Linked DNA regions of Caenorhabditis elegans. The protein of the gene in region 1 interacts with the protein of each later gene in a biochemical or structural test. Each region holds a gene or a part of one and is shown in the gene's direction. Other genes may lie near its edges.

The links.
Region 2: of the proteins of sep-1 (region 1) and cpar-1, one has a biochemical effect on the other in vitro, tested with the Caenorhabditis elegans proteins (one study listed by BioGRID).

Annotation. Positions count from the first base shown.
Region 1 is NC_003279.8:3,432,646-3,440,616, reverse strand, and holds sep-1 (Separin homolog sep-1), read left to right. Parts: upstream 1-2,073; 5' UTR 2,074-2,083; coding exon 2,084-2,827; intron 2,828-2,877; coding exon 2,878-3,037; intron 3,038-3,094; coding exon 3,095-3,494; intron 3,495-4,226; coding exon 4,227-4,452; intron 4,453-4,501; coding exon 4,502-4,624; intron 4,625-4,675; coding exon 4,676-4,977; intron 4,978-5,027; coding exon 5,028-5,922; intron 5,923-6,276; coding exon 6,277-6,455; intron 6,456-6,505; coding exon 6,506-6,601; intron 6,602-6,653; coding exon 6,654-7,317; 3' UTR 7,318-7,459; downstream 7,460-7,971. Other genes in the region: Y47G6A.13 (non-specific serine/threonine protein kinase), read left to right, coding at 1-71, 343-432, 484-871, 923-1,003, 1,107-1,180; nefr-1 (Protein kinase domain-containing protein), read right to left, coding at 1,273-1,378, 1,438-1,509; neto-1 (CUB domain-containing protein), read right to left, coding at 7,488-7,507, 7,559-7,801. UniProt on the Caenorhabditis elegans protein: Cysteine protease, which plays a central role in homologous chromosome separation during meiosis I and in sister chromatid separation during embryonic mitosis.
Region 2 is NC_003281.10:9,431,954-9,435,644, forward strand, and holds cpar-1 (Histone H3-like centromeric protein cpar-1), read left to right. Parts: upstream 1-2,103; 5' UTR 2,104-2,120; coding exon 2,121-2,212; intron 2,213-2,259; coding exon 2,260-2,407; intron 2,408-2,459; coding exon 2,460-2,780; intron 2,781-2,828; coding exon 2,829-3,053; 3' UTR 3,054-3,147; downstream 3,148-3,691. UniProt on the Caenorhabditis elegans protein: Histone H3-like variant which exclusively replaces conventional H3 in the nucleosome core of centromeric chromatin at the inner plate of the kinetochore.

The DNA of each region.
Region 1 (7,971 bases):
GGTCGAATTTGAAGGATGAAAAGGAAATTATGTCAATGAAGAAGTCGACAAAGGACCTTGCACTGTTTGAGGTGTGGATTTTTGAAAACAGGGGAAATTCGAATTTCCGAAACGCCACATGGTGTCAGAAAGTCTCTTTGATCTACAAAAAATGCGGGAATTGTTCCCAGAAAAATGTGACGTCAGCAACCCTGCGAAATCAGTTGAGATGTCTGCGTCTCTTCTCCCGCATTTTTCGTAGATCAAAGCAAAATGAGACGTGAAACCCGGAATGAACCATCAAAAATGGTACTCACAAGAAAATGCATTTTTCGGCATTTTGAACATTTTGCACATTTACAGGATCTCCCCGACGAGCTCAAATCAATCTTCGAGTACCTGAGAACTCTGAGCTACGCAGATCGCCCGAACTATGAGAAGATTTATAATCTGGTAGCGTTTTTCTCGAAATAGAATCCGATTAACAATTAAGAAATTTTTCAGCTGATGGCGGCTATCACCAGACTGAAGATCAACTTTCTGGATCCATATGAATGGGAAGACGACGAGATGGAAAGAATGGCAAAAGCTGAGAAAGAGGAAAAAGAGAAGGAAGAGAAGGAGAAAAAGGAAAAGGAAAATAAGGAGAATGAGTTGTCTGCCGATTCGATGAAAACTGCGATTCCAGCAAAGTCAGCGAAAGCCGAGTCGGAAGTTGCTGGAGAGGTTGATGAGCAGAAGAAGGTGAAGGATAACAGTTCCGGTGAACAGCAGCAGGATACGTTGAATGTGGATAAGGGCAACAAGTTGATCAGTGCAAAAGATATGGCTAGCAGTCGTTCGGAGGTTAACGAAAACTCGCAGTATGGGACTCCGGCGAAAGCGGGAAATTGTGAGTGGATTTTTTTCCCGACAGAAATTGACATTTATACTTGCTTTTCAGCTGTTACGGGAGATTCAATCGACATGGAAACTGCCATTGAATGCGATCAAATGGAATACAACTCGAAGAAGGCGTTGCCAAGTGAGAATTTCATGTTTATAACCTCGAAATGGGCTAAAATGAACGAAATTTGTTAATTTGAGCACATTTTGAGTCTGTTCAATCAAAAATCTCTATTTTACAGGAGACGAGCTTCAATTCGTCGTATATCCGGCAATTGCTCCTCGAAACTTCACCGAAGTCAAAATTCCCTTCTGATGCGACTTGAAATCATTCTCCCGAAGAATTCTCACTACTTTAATGACAATAAATGTTTTTTGTGAGGGGAAAAAATTCAGGAAAATGCCTACTTTGTTCGAGTCGAGCTTGCATTCTCTGAATGTGCTTCTTTTTCTCGTTTTGCACTCGTTGAAGTTCCTCCTTTATTCGTTCGATTTCTTCCTCGTCGAGAAAACTCTGGAAAAAAGTTGTTGGTTTTTTTTTCTAAATTCATTTTTTGGATCGTTATTAAGAACCTCGTCGGCTTCTCTCGATTCCATTCGCTTAAACGAGTGTCTCTTTGTCGGCGCTTGCTTGATACGCGGCATGTCGACTGAAAAAATGTAAATAATTCAATAAACAAGAAAAGTTTTAAACAAAAATTAAACGAATTTTGGGGCTCAAACTTTGAAAAGTAGAATTTACCGCACTGTCGTAAAGTTTGGTGTTTTGTACGCAGTTGCACCGCACGCGCATTCACGGACTTCAAAATCGGAGGGAAATTTTTTATTTTTGCCTCGAAAATCGTTTCATTTTCAATTTTCCTCGATTTCCGGTGAAAATCAATAAAAAAACTTGCTTCAACTTGCTAAAACTTGCAAAAAAACTTATTTTAATTCAAGATCTGGTGGAATTCCGGATCTGGCACCGTGCCAACTCTTATAAGAGATTTTTAAGAAAAAGTGACAACGTTGCTCCAATGTTACGCGTCGCGTATGTGAAGCGTATCATCTAGAAGAAAATTTTTTAAATTTTTTAGAAGATAACGTGCGTTGAAACCCTTTCATTTTCAATTTTTCCTCGATTTTTAATGAAAATCAATCAAAAAACTTGCTTTTTATGTATGTAATAATGTTAATTCCATTAAAACAGTTTAATTTTAATTTTTCTAGATAAACTTTCATGAAGATCACAAACAAGTCAGTTGACAAGCAGCACATCGAAAAACTAGATGAGCTACGCAAAAATGTGAGCTGCACGGTGATCGGGTTTGCCGAACAAACTGCCGAGTTGCAACAGGAGATTTCCGAGCTTTTTATCGCCGAATTCGGCGTCAATGGACCGATTGACATGAACTCGCTGAGCAAATTGGCTCGAATCACCTCATACTACGCCTCGTCCGAATACTTTCAAGGACTTGCGAAGTATCAACGAACCGCATGCAAAATGTTCATCACGTGGCAAACTCTACGAAAGGAGGCGATGGAGTGTCGGAGCAAAGATCGAGAGATTTTCGCGAGTATTCCCGCGAAACTCTGCTTTTTCTACTTTTACAACGGAGAACTGTGCAGAGCAGTCGTGTGCCTGCTCGACTACATCGACCTATCAGACGACACTCTGGCCAAGGAAGCTGCTCTTCGATGGTTGATGTTTCTCGGCGAGACCGAGCTAATTGAGAAGAAGCTGAAGACGTGGAAAATGGATAAAAGCTCGAAAGACATGTTCTCGGCTACCGAATTCGCGATGAACTACCTGAAAAAGTCAGAGTATCGCGTGGAAATGCTCGAAAAGCTGATGAAGCTTCGCGATAAAGTCAAATCGGATCCTACTCGCTCATTTTCGAGATACGAGTTGGCTTCTTATGTCTCTTGGTTGTGCTCAACGTTGAGCAATGTTCCCGTTGGATCCGCACTCAGGGAGTGTGAGGTATGAAGCGATGGTTTTGTGTTCTAAAATATATTTTATAATTATTTCAGTTCCCGGATCGTGTGTCCCATATTCAAGAAGCAGCATTAAAAAGTGATTCACTTGTGCGTAATCGAATTCCTGGCCTCGCCAGCTCTCAATTCGACAACTCGGTTAATGCATCAATTTGGCCATTTCTAGACGGGCATCAAGAAGATAGCAATTATTATGGTATAAATTGTTGAAAAAAAAAATATATAATTTCAAACACAATTTCTACATTTTCAGTGCACATTGGCAGTACAATCGCTTGGCACTTTGAGATGCGTCGGGAGTGTGCTCTCGTCAACGTCACCACCGCCCAAACTCGTGATTCGATGTCGGCAATGATTCTGAATCTTCGTGTCGCATTAAAATCGGCTTCATTCTTTCGAGTTCTTCAGACAACCAACACATTAGCCTACTATTCGAGTATCATCGAAGAAGCCGGAAGTGAGAAGAACGCGAAATTAATGAGAGTATCGTGTGTTAATTTGCTGTCGTCTAATCCGATAATTGTTCGGTGTAGCACTCCGAAGGAGACGGGAGCCACTTCGAGAGCTCATACACCGATGGCAGGGAGTAGTGTATCGGAGAAACAGAACACGATGAGACCTGATCTGGCTGATCTGTTGGGAGATCTCGAATTGTGAGAATTGGATTGCTGGAATATTTAGATTCAGAATAGAATTTGACCCTACAGAGACGGCGCGCAAGAAAAAATAGGCTTAACTGTTTTCCACATTCTTAAAAATAACGTATCAATTTCCCCTCGATTTTATCGAGCTGAATCACGCGCTTCAGGCTTCCCCAAATTTTTAAATGTAAGAATTTTCCGAATTAAGCCATTTGGACTCGGCCCCGGCCGGGGTAGATTTACGGCGCTTTGCGTGTCGCGTCGCGGCTCAATTGAATTAGAATCAAGGGTGCCATTTTTCGATACTTTTCAGTGAAAATCGAAAAATCGAAAAACGAAAATTTTCGATTTTTCGATTCCCTGGAAAATCGAAAAATCGCAAAAATATGTTCAGAAAATTAACCATAAAATACCTATGATTTTTTTTGCATATATTTATTAGAAAAAAAACATACAAGTTTCTTCTAAAAAGAAGAATAATAGCCAAAATATAAAGCTAATTTTTGAAAAATCAAAAAATCGAAAAATTTTCGTTTTTCGATTTTCTGAAAAAATCGAAAAATTTTCGTTTTTCGATTTTCTGAAAAAATCGAAAAACCGACACCCTTCATTAGAATGACCTGAATTGCTTAAAAGTGTTGAAAAAGCCGCTTTTCTAAAAATCAAATTCTACCGAGCGATTTTTCTGAGACATCACACGAAAGCCGCTCCCATAATATAAAATTATTCAATTAACTCTTCCAGACTCGATGAACAATCATTCCATCCGATCACCCGATCCTGCGTCTGCAATGTCTGCACGATTTACCCGCTGCATAGCTCATTCGCCGCCGAATACATGATGTCCTACGCAATTCACTCGGATTTCTCGCAACTCTCCATCAAACATTTCAACGACGAGTTCGCGAGAATCAGAGAGCGTGGAATGTCTAGTCAGGTTCTGATGCATCGGGACTCGAGTGTGAGGCCGGTGGGTTGCTCTGGAAATTCAAAAACAATAAAATACAAACTTATTGCAGAGACCGAATATCATTCAAAACGAGATTTTCGGCATGTGTGTGATCCGGTGGCTGACGAAAAAGTTGGATTCGAAAGAAAGTGCTGACGAGGATACGATGGAGATTTTCAACAACGCGTTGAAGGTATAAAATATTTGATTTGGAAAATGGGAAAATCGAAATTTCATCTTTCAGATCGTGAGATATCTTCAACAACGAACAACCGATATGATTCTCGCAGTGACACAACTTGGACGACAACTCGAGTTTCCCATGGAATGCAACTATAGCTGGATGCGGCCAACGATCCGGAAACCACGTGTCAAGGCAACGATCGATTGTGCCGTCGACATTCTTCGCGCGGTTTCTCCGTTCGGACGTCGTCCGAAAGTTGAGAAACTGGAGAAGAATCTTCAGCCTTTCGATAAGGAACGCTTCGAGAAGGTTCGGCTTGCCATGCGGAACGAGATGAACCACTACGGCCATATTCTATACAGGTTTGAAATTTAGAATTAAAAAATGAATATATATTTCAAAAATTTTCCAGAGAATGGCGTTGCCGCTTGTTCGCCTACGTCGGAAGAACATCACGTGATCCTTGGGAGGCTGCGTACGCATGGGCCGAGTCAACACAGATCGGAGCTCGTAACGCTGTACAGAGCCGACTTGAGAAGTGCAAGAGAGGATTGGTGACAATGTCGGGACATGATCGCTTCAAAACGTGTGTACAGTCGATGCCAGACGAGATGACGCTTGTACAGATTGCGATGGCCGATGATAAGACGATTTATTTGGTGAAACTGCACGCGGATCGTGATCCGATCATCATGCCACTGGCACACTACTCTCAAGCCGTCGAATTGATGGATAAATTCACGTTTTTGTTGGATGAAGACGAGATGATAGCAAAGTATCCCGGAGACATTACACCAGAAGAGTTTTGGAAACGACGGAAAATTGTGGATGGTAGAATGATGACGTTTGTTGACGAGGTTCAGAAGCATTTCCTAGGTGTTGCGGCGAGTCTTCTGATGCCGTCTGGACAGTTGGGCCCGAAAGCGGCAGAACTTGCAATTAAAATCCACAAGTTGTCGAAAGGAGGACTCCTTCTGGGAGAGGCCAAGGAGATGGTATATCAGTCAAAGTTGATGGATGCGAAATCCTGGGAAGCGCTGATTCTTCGATTCTGTGAGATGAGAACTACCGATGAGAAGTTCAAATCGTTCCTGCCGCTGATGCACAGGAATTCGGTTGAAGTAATGAATCAGGATGATTCGATTGTTACGGAAAAGAAGTACACGTACCTTGTCATCTGTCCCCATCTTTCTCAATTCTGTTGGGAGCGATTGCCGATTTTCGATGAGTATCCATATGTGGGACGTCAAGTATCGATTCACTCGACTTTTAGTCAGTTGGAAGCAATGAAAAGTCAGGAGAAACAGGTATGATCTTGAATGGAAAATATTACCAGAATACACAAAAATTCTGAAAATGCGTATTTCGCAACCTATTTGATGCGCAAAATATCTCGTAGGGAAAGCTACAGTAATTCTTTAAATGATTACTGTAGCGCTTGTGTCGATTTGTTTTCTAGATTTTTGGTTTCGAAAATAAATTCATTTCAAAAATCGAGATCCCGTAAATCGACACAAGCGCTACAGTAGCCATTCGAAGAGTTACTGTAGTTTTCCCTACGAGATATTTTGCGCATCAACAATGCTGCGCAATACGCATTACCAGCTGAAATACTTTCCATATAAGTTTTTATTGAAAAAAAAATTATTTCTTAACTTCAGATTCCTCTACAAATCGACGTACAAAACGCCTACTACATTCTCGATCCTGACAACAATTTGGGCGAAACACAAAAACGAATGGTCGAATATATCAATAAGTTCAATTGGGAAGGAACTGTTGGCTCGGCGCCAAAATCGAATGAGATTAGCGCCGCGTTGTCTCAACGCGATGCGTTTTTGTAAGTTCTGAGATTGAGCTGGATTGAATATCAACAAAAAAAATTTCCAGCTTTATTGGACATGGCTCTGGATCTTCGGTTATGCCACGATCTGTGCTCAAGCAGTCGACGTGTAATGCGATCAGTTTGCTGATGGGTTGTGGAAGGTTAATATAATTTATTTTGATTGATTTTCAACTAATTTTGCCTTTATTTTAGTGTCCGAACAATTCCACAAGCTCTCGGTTTTGATGGAAAAACGGCGATTCTGGACTACGCGATGGCAAAGTGTCCACTGATCGTTGGATGCTTATGGACTGTCACTGATGGTGAAATCGATCGTTTCTTGATTCGAATGATCGATGATTGTTTCGAAGATTCCAAATCGCTCACCGGAATCGACAAGCTTCGTCAGCTATCGGAGGCTATGCACGAGGCCAGATCAAAAGCCAGACTGAAATATTTGACCGGTGCCGCTGTGGTGATGTATGGATTGCCAGTTGTTGCAAAGCAAACGACGCCATTCGTGGAAAAGGATCAGAGAAACTTGCCGCAGACTCCGAAGACTTCAGCCCGAACTTCGATGCGAATGGAAACTGTGCCGAAGACACCGAAACAAGAATTTGTTACATCGAAGTCTGTTCCAATGACTCCAATTTTCTCAAATAATGAGAACAAGTCTCCAAGCCGAGCAAGGATGCCAAGCAGAGTTCTGAAGACACCTCGTCAGGTGAAAACGTTCCAAGAGGAAGATGATGAAGCTCCGAAACGGTCGACAACGCGGCAGCTGAAACCGCTGGTTGCACCACCTATTCCAGCAACACCGACGACTAGAACAACTCGCTCAAGTGCCCGAACTCCATCAAGATCCCGAAATTTGTAATATAATCTGACCCGAAGGATCTTAAGGATCGTTATTTTATTTTGCACAGGTGCTTATCTCCCGGGTTTCTTATTGTATTCTTTGACACTACTAGTCAACTAAGTTTTATTATTATCGTGTAAAATAAATGATTGAATGATTTATTCATTTTGGACCAGCTTTCAGTGACATCAGAGGATCGGAGGAAGAGCTGGAAATATGGCACTTTAAATTGAGAAAAGCCATCCGCGGGGCCACCTACCACAATTATTTTTGCGTATAGTGTAGAAACAAATGAGTGAGACCACAATGAGCACAATAAGAATAATCGAAACAAGCGGAGCAAATCCGCTTGCCAAAAAGCTGAAAATCGTGTCCTGACCGACGGAGCAGACACGTTCGTCACGTCCGTACGGGCAATTGGGCCGCCCGTTACACGCCAACGATTTTGGGACACAATTCTCGTCTCCACACGCGAAAAGACCTTCTTGGGTGCAATTTTTCACTGAAAATTTGAATTTGAGCTGATCTTAAGCGCAATTTTTATTACGCTCGATATGCAAACGCGCTTCACGGCCACAGTTGGGTCTCGTTAGGTATTTATTATTATTATTCAAACGTTTTCAATTAGTTTCAAGCAATTTTCGTCTTTTTTGTTATGTTTTCCATTGTATT
Region 2 (3,691 bases), on another chromosome or scaffold:
TTATAATTCGAAAAAAACACTGATAGAAACCAAAAACAATGGTTACTGTAACTAAATTTAACACAAAATGTTTTAATCTAACAGGACTATTCCGGGCGGCTATGTAAACTTAATTTCAGACTGTTGTATTATTTTTCGTCAAAGTTATTTTTTCCAGACATAATTACAAAGCAAGTTAGCGTCTTATTACCCTATTTGGATTACATTTTCCGTATACGATCCATCAAATGGCGAATCGAAGCGGAAATTCAGATCTTCTGCAGACACGCAGAGTACGCCTACGTTCAAACTTCCGTCAAAGCAATCTCAAAGCAAAAAATCTCCAAAAAAAGTGATCTCATAATGAGCATCATAGTAAATATACAAATTAGGAAATGTCTATGAGGTGCTTCTTCTTGAACAAATTTTTGCTAAATCTAAATGTATAGTTTAAAAACGGTTTATCCATAATCATATTTAGTATCTACCACAAGATTAGCTTCGCACGTACATTACCTGTTCGATGGTCATCTAGTTTTCAATTAATAAAGAATACGCTTGAAATGTGTTATTATTGGCTTTTCAGGGGAGATTGAGAAGACTCAAAATGTCATTTAATAATAGAAAATTAAATGAATCAGCAATGAATACAATACGGCTTCTGACTTTTTAGCATTGGTTGGAGGAACTAATAAGCCTTCAAGCTACACGGTTAGGAACGTAAAATTTTAGTAATAATTCAGGTTTCCAGAATTCCAGTCTGTCGAGGTCAAAAAGAAGATTGTTCAAGCGACAAATTTATTCAGAACATGAACTTACTTTTTTCGGTTAATACAGGTAAAGAGATTTGAGAAGCCAAATCCTCATTTACTAACGGTGGCTCATTTACTTTGACGCTCATTTACTAATGTTTTCACTTCCGCTCGTTTACTATCGAACGGCTCATTTACTAATTTACTAAGATTTACTCATTTCCTAGAACTAAATTACTTTTTAACAAGAGGTGGCTCTAAATTTGGTGATTTTTTTTCAAAGTGAAACTCCTATCTTTTCTCAATAGTAAGTAAAATTAAAAATGTGTCCAAACCCTAGGAATATGAAATTTTATTTCAACTAGGTTACCAAGAGACTTTTGACTTTGAAATTCTATTCATTTAAACGTTGAAGTGAAGTGTTAAACGAATGTACCACGCACTTTTTGGTAATTTACCAAAACAGGGCAGTATGAATAAAATCTTGCATGCAAGACTGATATAGGAAATACGGTAAATTACTATGATCCTTTTTCTTATATTTTTGATAAAGCGAAAATGCCAAACTCAGCTTGGGCTCCTACATTCATTTTAACACTCAACTTCAACCTTTAAATTAATAGAATTTCGAATTCAAAAGTGTCTTTGTAACCTAATTGAACTGAATTTTCATATATCGTTTGAGGTCTAAATACAAAAATTATTTTCTCTCACCGAAGTACTTATATATATATATATATCGACTCGTGAGTTTCAACAGTTCGTCTCTTTAAAATGTTCCCCGGTTTTCTGGAACCAAAAAGACCAAAAAATAAATTACAACACTGATTCAACAAATAAACAAAGAAGAACAAAAAACCTTCCGTTCATTCAATTTTTATTATTTTATGAAAGATCAACAGAATATTTCAAGAAAAATTTCCGTTTTGTTCCGTTTGAAATCAAAATTTGATTTCTTTTTGGTTTTTTTGAAAAATTCGCTTTTTTGTTTTTTGTTTTTTGGGCGGAAATTATTTTTTGCAACAGCCCTGTTCCCTGTTTAGCTAAAAGTATTATTTCTAGACCTACTTTGATAATCGTCTTCCGCGCAAGCGGAAATGGCTGGCGCATCTCTCGTGTTACTTGCGCATTTTCTTTTCAAAGTGCGAAAATTTGATTTTTCTTCCAGAATTTTCTAATTTTTGCTGATTTTGTGACTCTCAGATTATTTTCACCGGAAATATGTTTTGCCATTTTCGTATTTCAATGGTTCTCCTGCCGCCAATCGTTCCTTATTTAAACTGCGTTCGTTTTTATTGCTTCTTTAATTCCTTTTAACCTTCAAACAAATTGTCTTAATTTAGCTTCAGTTTTTTAAATTTTATATTTTAACAGGATAATCTTCGAACAATGGCCGATGACGGACCAATTATTGAGGAAATTGCCGAGAAGAATGGGAGGGTGGCAAGGATCATGCAACGTCTCCAACATGACACACAAAGGTAATTATTTTTGTTTTCGTGCTACAAATTAATGTATGGTGTTTCAGAGTCACTTCAGTGCCGGGCTTCAACACAAGCGCCACAGGATACGCTGACCTTATCGCTCTTCTGGATCAGTATAAGAACGACCTTGAGGCTGTTGGATTCAACGACTTAGAGCAAGCTCGAAGAAGAGCTCCTTCTGTGGATATTACGGTTAGTTTCAAATTTGTGTGAGAAATTTCAAACAACATAATATTTGTTTCAGGTCGGCAGTAATTCAACTAATCTTGTCGATTACTCCCACGGCCGTCATGATATGCCCTCACACCGTCGACACGATAGCTCCGATGAAGAAATCACGGCAGCCAACAGTCACCATCAGTCACCAATAAATGTGGGGAATCGTAATGACACGGATGGTACAAATGGCAGAAATGGAAGTAGAGCTGGTTCATCGAGCTCCGATCGCGTGCGGATGATAGCCGGAAGGAACAGAATCTCGAAAACGAGACGTTATAGACCGGGCCAGAAGGCATTGGAAGAGATTCGCAAATACCAAGAATCTGAAGACCTTCTGATTCCAAAGGTATATATTTTTTACTACATTCCACATTTAAACAATTCCAAATTTCAGGCTCCGTTCGCACGCCTCGTCCGCGAAATTATGCAGACTTCCACTCCATTTTCCTCAGACCTTCGCATTCGTTCTGACGCCATCAATGCTCTTCAGGAAGCATCGGAAGCACTGTTGGTCCAAATGTTCGATGGTTCATCACTCATTTCCGCCCATTCCAAACGTGCCACACTGACGACTACAGACGTGCAGCTTTACCGCCGTCTTTGCCTTCCAAATCTCTGATTAAAAAATTTGCAATACTAATCACTAACTGTAAATTGTTTATTTATTTATATTGTAAAAATTTATTGCATGAAAATGAATTTATTGTATTTAATCACTTGTTCGAGTATGAATAGCTCGAAGCTTATGATAGACTCCTTCGCAGCATCTTTGCACAATGTCTGACAGAATCTGTTTGGCCCAGTGATAAATTGCCCTGAAATTGAAACCTCTTGTTAAAAAGGAATTTAGTTCTAGAAAATGAGTAAATCTTAGGCGAAAATTCTTAATTTTTTTGGAAAGTTGTAGTTTTGCAATCAATTTGAATGTAGGACTTTTCAGATTTTTTTAAAATTTAAATTATTACTTGCACCTTGTTTTCAAGCGACGTTTTTTTCTACGCCCTCGTAAGATATCAGCTTCCTGATTATAAAAAATAAAGATGAATTATTGAAAACTTGAAAACTTTGAAACTCAAGCCTTACATTTGCATCAAACTAAAACTAGAAGAAACGAGTTTTGACTAAAAACACGTTTATAGGTGCCCGCAAAAAGCAAAATGAGATTGTAAGAGGGAAAGCCAAGAAAAGAAATGCAATAGATTGGAAAGGAGAAATAATTTCAAAGTAATACGAAATATAAACATAGAAATGCAATAA